3 linked regions of the Bombyx mori genome follow. The protein of the gene in region 2 purifies or fractionates together with the protein of the main gene of each other region. This does not show direct contact. Links are inferred from orthologs where the notes say so. Each region holds a gene or a part of one and is shown on either strand. Other genes may lie near its edges.

Region 1 (3,659 bases), on a different chromosome or scaffold from region 2:
AACTTAAACTTAAGCTTATGAACTGCAGTTTTGAACATAGTTTTGGATGTTGTAAATATCAATATCTGAATAAAACTTGTTGTAGGTCTTAGGTAATCTAATAGACATATCATTAGCCCCGCAGTTGGTGCGCTCTAGCGGTATATAAACATGTGATATTTTTAATATTAATCATATTTGCAACATTTATATTTTATTTTGTACCAGTTACATTATCTGTCTTTTAAAGTATGATAATATTATGTATTAATTTTGTTAATACATAGTAGTCAAATCATAGGTAAACTAAAAAAAAAACTAAAGCTAACTATGCTCTTTTGACGGTATTTATTAGAAGAATACTGGTGATGCCAAATGATTTCGCATATTAACTCAATTTCGAATATTTTTGGACACTTTTAATACGAAAAGACGAAATATGTAATTTAATTTAATAGAAATATGTATTTTAATTTGCGTAATTACTGGTGGTAGGACCTCTTGTGAGTCCGCGCGGGTGGGTACCACCGCCCTGCCTATTTCTGCCGTGAAGCAGTAATGCGTTTCGGTTTGAAGGGTGGGGCAGCCGTTGTAACTATACTTGAGACCTTAGAACTTATATTTCAAGATGGGTGGCGCATTTACGTTGTGGGTGTCTATGGGCTCCAGTAACCACTTAACACCAGGTGGGCTCGTCCACCCATCTAAGCAATAAAAAAAAAACTTTATTTTCTTTCTTCTAGTCGTACAGTGGGTCGTTCTGCCATGAAGCTCGGCAGCCGCGGCACAGACGCGGACTCGTTCGTGTCCCGACTCCGCAGCGAGGGTGACGTCACGGCGCCCGTAGCGTCGCCGGCGCAACACGACGCCGGCAAGCCCGTGCCCGCCGATCACAAGGAGTGAGTACTGTTTGCAAAACAATTTTTACTTTATCATTTTTTTTTTTAATTATTATTCACACATTGACTTCTGCGCTAAACGTGGACATATTTTTTAAAATGAATAGTCATTATTTTTGTTATTTTTTTTTATCTTCTCTAGAAACCCGAGAACATGCAGTAGTAGGTATACAGACAGGTGCTGCCTTCATAAATAATAGCATTGCTTTGAGATTCTAGCACTGAATGAATAGACACATTATGTTTTTGAATTTGAACCCGATACAGAGCATTTACATTCGGCATTCATTGTAATATTTTCAAAATGAACTCAAAAAATCGAACAGAGAAAGCATAAAGTTAATGTTTTTCTTATTTTAAAATATTCGTCCCTGTATAGGGGTAATGAAAAAAACAACTTTCTAATATCTTCACGTCTTGTACCGCAATGATTGGTTGATTATTTCAGTGTTCACTTGCGCTTCGAGGAGCGTTTAAACCTGATCGCCGGCCGCGACGGTGACATACAAACTTTTGAACTATCAGGTATTTATTGTATAATCTACTATAAACTATATTAAGAGAGAGAGAGAGAGATATTTTTTTCCTACCTTAGCCGATGGTCTTGAGAGACCATATCAGGATCACCGGGCGAGAGAGAGAGAGAGTATTCTTTATTGTACACCAAAAAAATAAACAATGCGATACATTGAAAAGTCGTCGTGGCCTAAAGAATAAGTCAAAAAAGCACAATTGGCGGTCTTATCGCTAACAGCAATCTCCTCCAGACAACCATCATCATTTGGAAACGAATTACGCGCGGTGTACCAAATTAGTGAAATATATATGTAAATATATACATACATACACACACATACATACACAAATACCATACATATGTATATTTATATGTATATATTTACACTCAAGTATAGTGTATATGTGTTTTTGTGTGTACGTCTTTTGTTAATTTATATTTCAATGCACTTACCAATATTTACTCTGCACTACCTTTGGTTGAATGGAAGAGAATGCCTTGGGCATTAAGTCCGTCAACGTAGATAAATACATTTAAGTGTAATAAATGAATTAATAATGTTACTTAATAGAAACATTGCGGTTTCTTGCTTGCTATCACAATAGCAAGGTTCAGTTACGCGGAGAAATGAGTCGACTGTTATCAAAGCCGGCAATGTGACTTTTGGACAATTATTGGTAAATCAGAAAAACGAATTTTTGACTTTGTATTCCATTGGCAGTCACAAAACTCTTCTGAACGACATCTTAGATAAATAACAGGTTAAGTATTAACCTTTATTTAATGCAGGTTTTGGTCAATAACATTTTTTTGTTCAAATGCACAGATTGCCACCTTTGATAATAGACGACCCAAATAAGTCAAAGACACTATTTTACAAACATTTATAATGATTGAAACGCGTACAGATAGTAGGCAGGTGACAGAACGTGGCATAAAACAATAACAAAACGAATAAATAGATGTTAAAGTACTGCATGATAGAAAACATTATTTTGAGGGTAGTATTTCAAACTACGCGACACGACGGCGCGCGTGAGGTCATTGACCCGACACGTGGCAGCAAAAAAAGATATAACTCTATCACTAATGGTTCTATTCGAAATATGAAAAGAGAATTTAACTTTACATAGACACTAGGTGGCAGCACTTTATAATAAGGATTGTAATTGAGTGCTCTCACTGTGTAATAGAAGAGAATAAATAAGTTTGTACCGTTTCTAATTAAATTGTTTTAAAACCAAAAACCGATAATCCAATTAGGTTCCTGCTCTTAAACTTAATCTGCCCGTGCGACATCCCTCTCCTTGCAAAGTATTCGTGATTAAAAGGGGTAAATAACAGTATTGAAGTACCACTGAGACCTCATGGATCAAAGTTGTCGCACATGAGACGTCTTGGGCTCCGGTGACCACTTAACAACGGCTGGACCGGGAGCTATCCGTCTCGGTACTTCAAGTGTGCATAGACTAAGGATAGGAAGTGAATATAAAGCCCCATTTAAAGCAATTGAAGCTTAGTGTAACATATTTAAGAGAGCTTATAAAGCTCTGAGAATAAAATAAAATTGTAATGAACAAATATCGAGTGACGGTATTTAAAAAAAAACCTATATAGTAAAAAAATAGAGTGAGAGAGAATATATTTTATTTCACATCAAAATAGAATTAACATCGACAGACCGTCAACAGGTCGGTATAATTGTACAACAGGCTTATCGTTAAAAGAGATCTCTTCCAGACAACCGTTTATTATCTACAGAAATTCTGTAAAAGACACATTGCGATGTACTATATAATATGTAGATTTACTAGAAATATTCAAAATATTGTTTTTTTTTGTTCACCGTACATCGGTTGCCAAATAGAAATGTTTGTTCGACAGGTTTGCTGACGCTACGCATTAGCAACGAGCAGTTCGGTCGCATACACGTGCACGTCGACAACAAAGACTCGAGACCGTTACAGTTGCAGGTAGGCTATGTTTTAGCCATAGGGATGATGTGGAAGAAACTCTGAATGCGAGAACGAGAGAGAGCTAACGAGGAAAACGTATCTTAGAGAGAACGCGAGCATAAAAGCATTCCTAAAGACTGACGTCACTGCGAAGATGATGCTTAGTTTTTTAGGGGATTTTATGACCTGGTAACTAAGACCTTTAAGTCATGTCTTATTTTAATTTATATTCTCACTTTTATGTAAAGTTATAATATGGAGTGAAATTAAATTAAATGAAGATGATTAATTTGAGACATTAATCAACTG
Region 2 (3,659 bases):
GGAGGTGTCTGGAAAAACAACACAATTCATCTCATTATATAATCTAACTAGACTCAACTCGACTGAAGTTGTCCTCTTTAATGTAATATTGACATTAAAAAAAAATTTATTGAACGGATTTGTAAATCTAAACCATATTTACAAATAACACACACAAAAAAGTATTATGTCATTAGATTTAAATCACCAATTATTATCGTAATCACTGATTATTTAAGTAATTTGACCGTCTTTATGATTAAAATCAAGTCAAGTCAAGACCGAAATCCTCATATTTCAATGTTCCCCAAAGTATAGTGCCCACCGTGAGTGACCCTCTATGCTGATAATTATGAATATAAACTATTTTCAAATAAACTTGATCAAAATAAAAACACAAACCCCTTAGATTTTAATCACTAATTATTATTGTAATCTTCCATTGTTTAAGTAATTTAACCGTCTGTATGATTAAGATGGTGCCAAGTCAACAATGCAATGGGACATATTTCAATGTTCCCTGAAGTACATTGCCCACTGTAACCTTCTATGCTGATAGTTGTCAAAATAAACCATTTTCAAATTATATTGATAAAAAAAAGACAAAAACCTATTAGATTTTAATCACTAATTATTATTGTAATCTTCCATTGTTTAAGTAATTTAACCGTCTGTATGATTAATATGATGCCAAGTCAACAATGGAGTTCACATATTTCAATGTTCCCTGAAGTACAGTGCCGACTGTGGCCTCCTGTGCTGACGGGCCCACGAGTCCACGGGCCCAAGAGTTACTGGTGGTAGGACCTCTTGTGAGTCCGCACGGGTAGCTACCACCACCCTGCCTATTTCTGCCGTGAAGCAGTAATGCGTTTCGGTTTGAGGTGGCTGGGGCTGCCGTTGTAACTATACTTGAGACCTTAGAACTTTACTTTTCAAGGTGAGTGGCGCATTTACGTTGTAGATGTCTATGGGCTCCAGTAACCACTTAACACCAGGTGGGCTGTGAGCCCGTCCACCCATCTAAGCAATAAAAAAAAGTATCAAGATTACACTCTTGTACCTGTTTTTAATGTAGAACAGCATATTGTTGTGAACTGCATACGCTGGACGCTCACGTTGCAGCTTGAAGAGTACCATCCCACCGTCGTGTCCCGCCGCGAACAAGTTCAGCGTGGGGTGGGACGTCAACACCCAGTACCTGTCAAATTGACACTGTTTGTACAATTTCCAATGTACAATATCCACCAAATGCCTATATAGAGAGTGCTCCAATATTTTGGTCATATAGCAAGAAAACCCTCTGACAACCTGGAGAGACTCATAGTGACGGGTAAAGTAGATGGAAGACGATCCTGAGGTCGGAGCCGAAAAATATGGAGTGACCAAGTGTCCGAGCATCTGAACATGAGACTGAGCCACGCACTTCACTGTGCCACTGACTGACAAAAGTGGCTACAAATTACAAAAAAAGGTCACAGGCGGGCGCATCACGATGCTCAGCAATGACCGATCGAAGGAGGAGGTACAATATCAATACTTTTCGAAAAAATGCCGCACCCATTTTTTTCAATGTCCATTTCTAACATAAGGTTATGTGGTTACCGCAACCCATAGACATGGAGATCGAAGACGCAATTGTATTTTACTAACGGCTGTCCCCCCTCTTCCTCCCTCTGCCAAAACCTATTACGCCATAAAAATAAATTTTGTTTGTTACCCCTGTAAAGTTTTTAAGAAAATTCCAATTTCCAATCCAATTTTTTAGGAAATTCCAATTTTCGAAAATCAGGTCTAATTATTAAGATTCGGAAACCCATACGTTAACAGTTGAAATTTCTAAAAAATATCCCGTTTACGACCTGAAGAGAAAGAAGATCAAACCAGCTTCACGATAAAATAATTCGTTTACCTCTCGTGTTCCCTTCTAAAGGACTGCAGGAGGGTCCTTTTAGACATGTCCCAAACTCTGATATAAAGATCCTCGCTGTTAGATATGATGAGTTCGTGTTTCGCGTGAAACAAAACACAGGAGACATTGTTGTAGTGGCCGCGACATGTATCCACTTCCCAGGCCTGGAAAAGTGGCATATAATTCAAGTTGTAAACTCTGAGTACATCATTGCATGTGGGGAACCACTGAGGTGTTTGGTGAGGGTGGTTTACTTCTAGGAAGTGGTGGTATATCATTGGCAAAGTGATCTTGAGAGGTAATTTTGTGGATAGCAGCTAGTCTCGGCATTCAGTACTCAACTTCAAGTTTATTAGAAATTTAGTATAAACATATTGGACATTATTATATGAATTGTAGAAATAGTTTTTTTTTCTATGCTATTCTATCAGCCCATGGATGTCCACTGCTGGACATAGGCCTCCCCCAAGCCTCGCCACAAAGACTGGTCTTGCGCTGCATGAAATAGTTTATCATTTATTATTATGAAATAATTAAAATAAATAAGGTTTTCAGACAGATAGCTTTTAAATATTTTAATCGGACTCAGACAGAATGCTTTGTCACTTTCCTGCAAATCGATTTTCGCTAATTTGTTAGGCGGCTATAAACTATGACGTCATTATTCCAGATGATATAATGAAGCTTATAATTTCCGTATTCTTGAACAGACTGACTTTGTTTATATTTAATTTTTTTTTCTCCATCTTATCCCACTAGGTGGGGTTGGCATGGCACTTTGTTTATATTTAATAATTTTCCTAAATTAAAATAATTTCTTTATTTAATTTGGTTCATTAATCTAGTAGTTATTAAAGAGATGTACATATGCTTATTTATTAATAAGGTATTTGTCAGACATTATTGGTGACAATGACCTTCATAAACTATACACTAAAGCCTTACCTTAGAATCATTCATTCTCCAAAGCTTCACTTGTCTGTCATCTGCAGCAGATGCGATCAATGGTAAAGTAGGATGAAAACAGGCCCAGTTTACACCCCTATCGTGGCCCTCCAAGACGTGCTTCACAACAGCATCAGCCTGCATGTACAGTTGCTTTAGCAACGGAACCGCAGGGATTTTGATTAATAAAAATAATTAATTAAATAAAATAAAAAATCATAATAACAAATAGCTGTTTTTTGTTTGAATGAGATGAACAGAAAATATATTTACAAAGAATGATTGGATGATTGTGTATGGAGGTTTGGATCAAATAAAAAGGATGTATTTGGATCGTTTTGGGATGTTAGTACAAGTAGATATTCAATAGATACTGGTTAAAAGTAAATAATTACAATAAAACAAACAAAATATAATTAATACATATTTACAAATCAATAATATATGCTGGGTATATATTTTTCATTTTCAAAGAATTATTTTAACTCACCAAAATCCCAATAAAGATAATTTAAAAACATTATTCAGTACATAGTCGACACATAGTGTCATGCTGTGATTAAAGAAAATTAAACATATGGACATCTTGTAGATTAACCCTAACTTCGGGATCACCATTACTTCCTCGGATATTTTGAATGCATAGCCATAATCCCTGATGAAAGCAGTGACACCAATTGACCAACCACTAGCGTTACCTGTCCAAAAAGATCTGTTGCTTGTGGATTCCTTAAGTGTTCAGTCAGTCCAGCAGGTCCTGGAGCAACACTCTTTTTTCTCAGTCCAGAGAAATCCCAGACTCTTACAGACTGGTCTAATGAAG
Region 3 (4,155 bases), on a different chromosome or scaffold from region 2:
TGTCGACTGAAAAATATCTAACGTATCACGGAAATAATTCATGTAAATCCACTAATATAAAATTGATCGAATTTCAATACAATTCCCACTGAATCGAATTTGAATTCGATGTCAATTAATGATAATAAAAATATATACTTATTCGGTTCCTAGGATAAGCAAAGGAAACACAGTCCAAAGCATTCTTAACTTTGAACGCAAAAGCCGCGCCGTTTTTTATGAAAATTGAAGTGTAGAGTCTGATTGTTTGGAATCATGTGAGTAATCTTGAATCAATTGGTCTCTTAATTCTATTTTATAATTTACACTACTCTTCTCCTTTGTAGTGACAACTGATATGTATTTTTTGTTACTTTTCCTTCGATCAATATAATAATATGTAGTTGGTGACAGTCAATCAAATTGATTTTCATCGATTTCTTTCAGTGATTAAGCAATTGAAATTTTTGAGTAAAACTCAATGATTTTAATTTCAATTGGATAAAATGAACCAAAACAACATCCCAAATAAATGCAGAGGCAATAAAATATTTTCCGAGGAAAATTATGGAAATTTTTTACGAGGTTAACTGACTTTTTGGAAAAACTTGAGAAGCCACGTCGAATGATAAACAATTTATACCTTCAAACATGAAGAAAAACTAAATTATCAAAATATAGCACACGTCTAGAAATATTAAATGGTGGTAGGACCTTTTGTGAGTCCGCGCGGGTAGGTACCACCGCCCCGCCTATTTCTGCCGTGAAGCAGTAATGCGTTTCGGTCTGAAAAGTAGGGCAGCCGTTGTAACTATACCGAGATCTTAGAGCCTATATCTCAAGGTGGGTGACGCATTTACGTTGTAGATGTTTATGGGCTCCAGTAACCACTTAACACCAGGTGGGCTGTGAGCTCGTTCGCCCATCTAAGCAATAAAAAAAATATATATATTAAAAATTTGAAAAGACATTACCTTACAGGTGGTAGGACCTCTTGTGCTTGTGAGTCTGCACGGGTAGGTACCACCAAAGCGCCTATTTTCTACCGTAAAGCAGTAATGCGTTTCAGTTTGAAGGTTGGGTAGCTTTTATAACTATACTGAGACCTTAGAATTCATATCTCAAGGTGGGTGGTAGCATTTACGTTGTAGATGTCTATGGGCTCCAGTAAGCAATTAACACCGGGTGGGCTGTGAGCTCGTCCATCTAAGCAATAAAAAAAATAAAAAAAACACTTAAAACGTCAAATGTCACTTGAGTGGCGTAAATGACATGTCGGTTTCTGGACACGTATTTGTGTATGAGGAGGAGCTAAATTAATAAATTGGATTAATTTATCGTTTTTTTGTGTATTTTAGTACATACATGAAGGATTATTGAATTATTCATAGTTCATTCTTATCGTGTGATTTCGTGGCCCAGTATATCTTTAACTCATTCAGGTTAGTATGAGAACAACATGTCACTGTATACCGGACGAGTAAACCACGAATTTTTAGGCAGTATCATATCAACACTCTATCGTGTTGATGCTACTGCCTAAAATATCTGCTAACATATGATAGCAAACGAAATATTGAATACGAATGATCGTAAATTACAACTATACTTTTAAAGCAATCTTAAACAATTGCAATTTTGATTTTCCAACTGGATCATTTAACTAGTAGGATAAACATAGAAAAATAAAAATTAAAGAAATACATTACTAACTAAATATGACCAAACACACACACACACACATTTATTTGCCCATAAATTAACACTGCCAGGATCGGGACAGCTGAAAAGTTGAGTAAAACACATGTTAATAATCTACATTGGCTACTCTTATTTATGATCTTGTTTTCCATAATTGTTAGATTATTAGTAATAACGTTAGGAGGTTTGCAACAACAGTGTTCTACAATTGTTCTGGTATCTATTATACTGGTAGTACTCTACAAACTGACATCCTTAAGGGCAATATGTTAGCTGATTCCATTAGTGTTGCAGAATGATGAACCAGCTCAAGTTTAGCTATGGCATTGTCAATGCTTATGACCTGGGGATCATCATTAAATGGTTTGAAGAGTAATTAACAAATGTTTTCTGGTTTTGAATAAACATGAATTGTGATTAGAAAATTTGCAGTTACAGTCAAATTATTACTAATAAATTTAAATGTTTAACTCAGGATGGCGGTTGTGGAGCAGCCATGCTATACTCTTATCAATTTTCCAACTGATTTAGAACCATGCAATGAGATGCAACTTAAACTTGATCTTGGTGAGTAGTTTTGCATAATTCTTGGTCAGTAAAAGCTATTTATTAGTGACTTGGAAATTACAATACAACTTTTTTCTTCCAAAAATGTGGTAACGACTTGGAAGTGTGATTGCTACCTTGACCCCCCAGTATTATGCATGTATACTTTTGGATCTGTGTTATTATTATTATTCATTACATAGGGTGTTACTGTACACCAGTAACTCTGATCTACATTAATTTGTAGTTTGCACTTATGTTATTAGTTCCTATTTAGACCTAAAAAGTCTGAAAAATATGCATTAATATGCTATGAATATTTTTTGAAATTGAGTAGACTTAGGAATTATGTTTTGCAAATGACTACTAAAAAACACATGTGTTCAGTATATAATAAAAACTTCTAAAAGAAATGTACTTCTAAAATGTACATTTCCCTATCAGACAACATAAAAATATTTTTATCCTTAATACATATTTGAAAACCCTTCAAAACGCTTGTTTTTGAAATAAAAAGTTTTATGCACCGTCTACAGTGGTAGATGGTAATCACAAATATTTTTTGTAGTAAATAAAATAAGCAACCTTGCCCCCAATGTTGACTAAATTATATTTTACATCACAAACTTTACAGAGAAAGGTGATACAAAAAAGAAAATAGAAGCATTAAAAAAGACAATAGGAATAATACTTTCTGGGGAAAAGATACCAGGTCTGCTCATGATCATTATTAGGTTCGTGTTGCCATTGCAAGATCACATGATCAAGAAGCTGCTACTTATCTTTTGGGAGATTGTACCAAAGACCTCACCTGATGGAAAATTATTGCAGGAAATGATCCTTGTCTGTGATGCCTATAGAAAGGTTAGGGTGACAATCATATTTTTGCCTTTTTGAAGTGATTATTTCCAAGAAAATTAGTATGAAACTGTCTCTATTTTGTCAGAGAATTGTAGCTGCGTTCAAATCTCATAGCTATTTATGCATTTTAGAGTCTACTGTTTCAAAATTTAACTGTAAACAAACAGTATTTGATTTTAATAACTTTTAAAAATGTGTTCTTTATAATTTTATTAATTTACTAGTTAATCATCCTACCACTGTGATTTGAGTGTAACAGTATTTAAATCGACTATAGGATCTTCAACATCCAAATGAGTTCATTCGCGGATCTACTCTGCGTTTTCTGTGCAAGCTGAAAGAGCCTGAACTCCTTGAACCCCTAATGCCAGCCATACGGTCCTGTCTCGAGCACAGACATTCGTATGTCAGGAGGAATGCTGTTCTTGCTATTTTTACCATATATAGGTGAGGAATATATAAAATCTAAATTCATTTGTAAAGTTAATCAACCACAGGAAGTCTTATAATATATGATGATATAAAAAAATAATATGGATCTTGTAATTGCAAAACTTAAAACTGGTTATAGCTATATTAAGATTAAGAGGTATATTAATATATTATCTTCTATCAATAAAATAGATCAAATAGGAAATGCCCTGGGAATTCATCTGTAACAATTAAATGTTATTCATAATATATCAGTATTAAAATTTTCCTTTTAGGAACTTTGAATTCCTAATTCCTGATGCACCGGAGCTGGTAGCAAACTTCCTGGAGACTGAGCAAGACATGTCTTGCAAGCGTAATGCCTTCCTCATGCTGCTGCATGCTGACCAAGAGCGTGCTTTGACATATTTGTCTTCTAGGCTCGATAATGTACACAGCTTTGGAGATATTCTTCAATTGGTCATAGTCGAGTTGATTTATAAGGTTAGTGTCCTAATATTGAAATACACAAAAAATATATGTGTGGGTTGAAAGATAAAAGATAGATAGATGTTCCATGTTTATTTTTTCATATATAGAAAAGGTATATATGAGTCGTCTATTATCAAAGGCGGCAATCTGTGCATTTGGACAACA

What was found.
Region 1: the proteins of COPA (region 2) and COPD fractionate together in Homo sapiens (co-fractionation; 4 studies listed by BioGRID and IntAct, with this or other methods). This does not show direct contact. The link is inferred for Bombyx mori from reciprocal best matches to the Homo sapiens genes COPA and ARCN1.
Region 3: the proteins of COPA (region 2) and COPB fractionate together in Homo sapiens (co-fractionation; 6 studies listed by BioGRID and IntAct, with this or other methods). This does not show direct contact. The link is inferred for Bombyx mori from reciprocal best matches to the Homo sapiens genes COPA and COPB1.

Annotation. Positions count from the first base shown.
Region 1 is NC_085130.1:5,917,219-5,920,877, reverse strand, and holds part of COPD (coatomer protein complex subunit delta), read left to right. Parts: intron 1-722; coding exon 723-878; intron 879-1,326; coding exon 1,327-1,403; intron 1,404-3,279; coding exon 3,280-3,368; intron 3,369-3,659. UniProt on the Homo sapiens protein: Component of the coatomer, a cytosolic protein complex that binds to dilysine motifs and reversibly associates with Golgi non-clathrin-coated vesicles, which further mediate biosynthetic protein transport from the ER, via the Golgi up to the trans Golgi network.
Region 2 is NC_085132.1:3,505,712-3,509,370, forward strand, and holds part of COPA (coatomer protein complex subunit alpha), read right to left. Parts: coding exon 3,535-3,659; intron 2,990-3,534; coding exon 2,837-2,989; intron 2,056-2,836; coding exon 1,892-2,055; intron 1,181-1,891; coding exon 1,043-1,180; intron 9-1,042; coding exon 1-8. UniProt on the Homo sapiens protein: The coatomer is a cytosolic protein complex that binds to dilysine motifs and reversibly associates with Golgi non-clathrin-coated vesicles, which further mediate biosynthetic protein transport from the ER, via the Golgi up to the trans Golgi network.
Region 3 is NC_085119.1:987,090-991,244, reverse strand, and holds the start of COPB (coatomer protein complex subunit beta), read left to right. Parts: upstream 1-1,217; 5' UTR 1,218-1,421; intron 1,422-2,155; 5' UTR 2,156-2,156; coding exon 2,157-2,247; intron 2,248-2,860; coding exon 2,861-3,090; intron 3,091-3,364; coding exon 3,365-3,534; intron 3,535-3,794; coding exon 3,795-4,002; intron 4,003-4,155. UniProt on the Homo sapiens protein: The coatomer is a cytosolic protein complex that binds to dilysine motifs and reversibly associates with Golgi non-clathrin-coated vesicles, which further mediate biosynthetic protein transport from the ER, via the Golgi up to the trans Golgi network.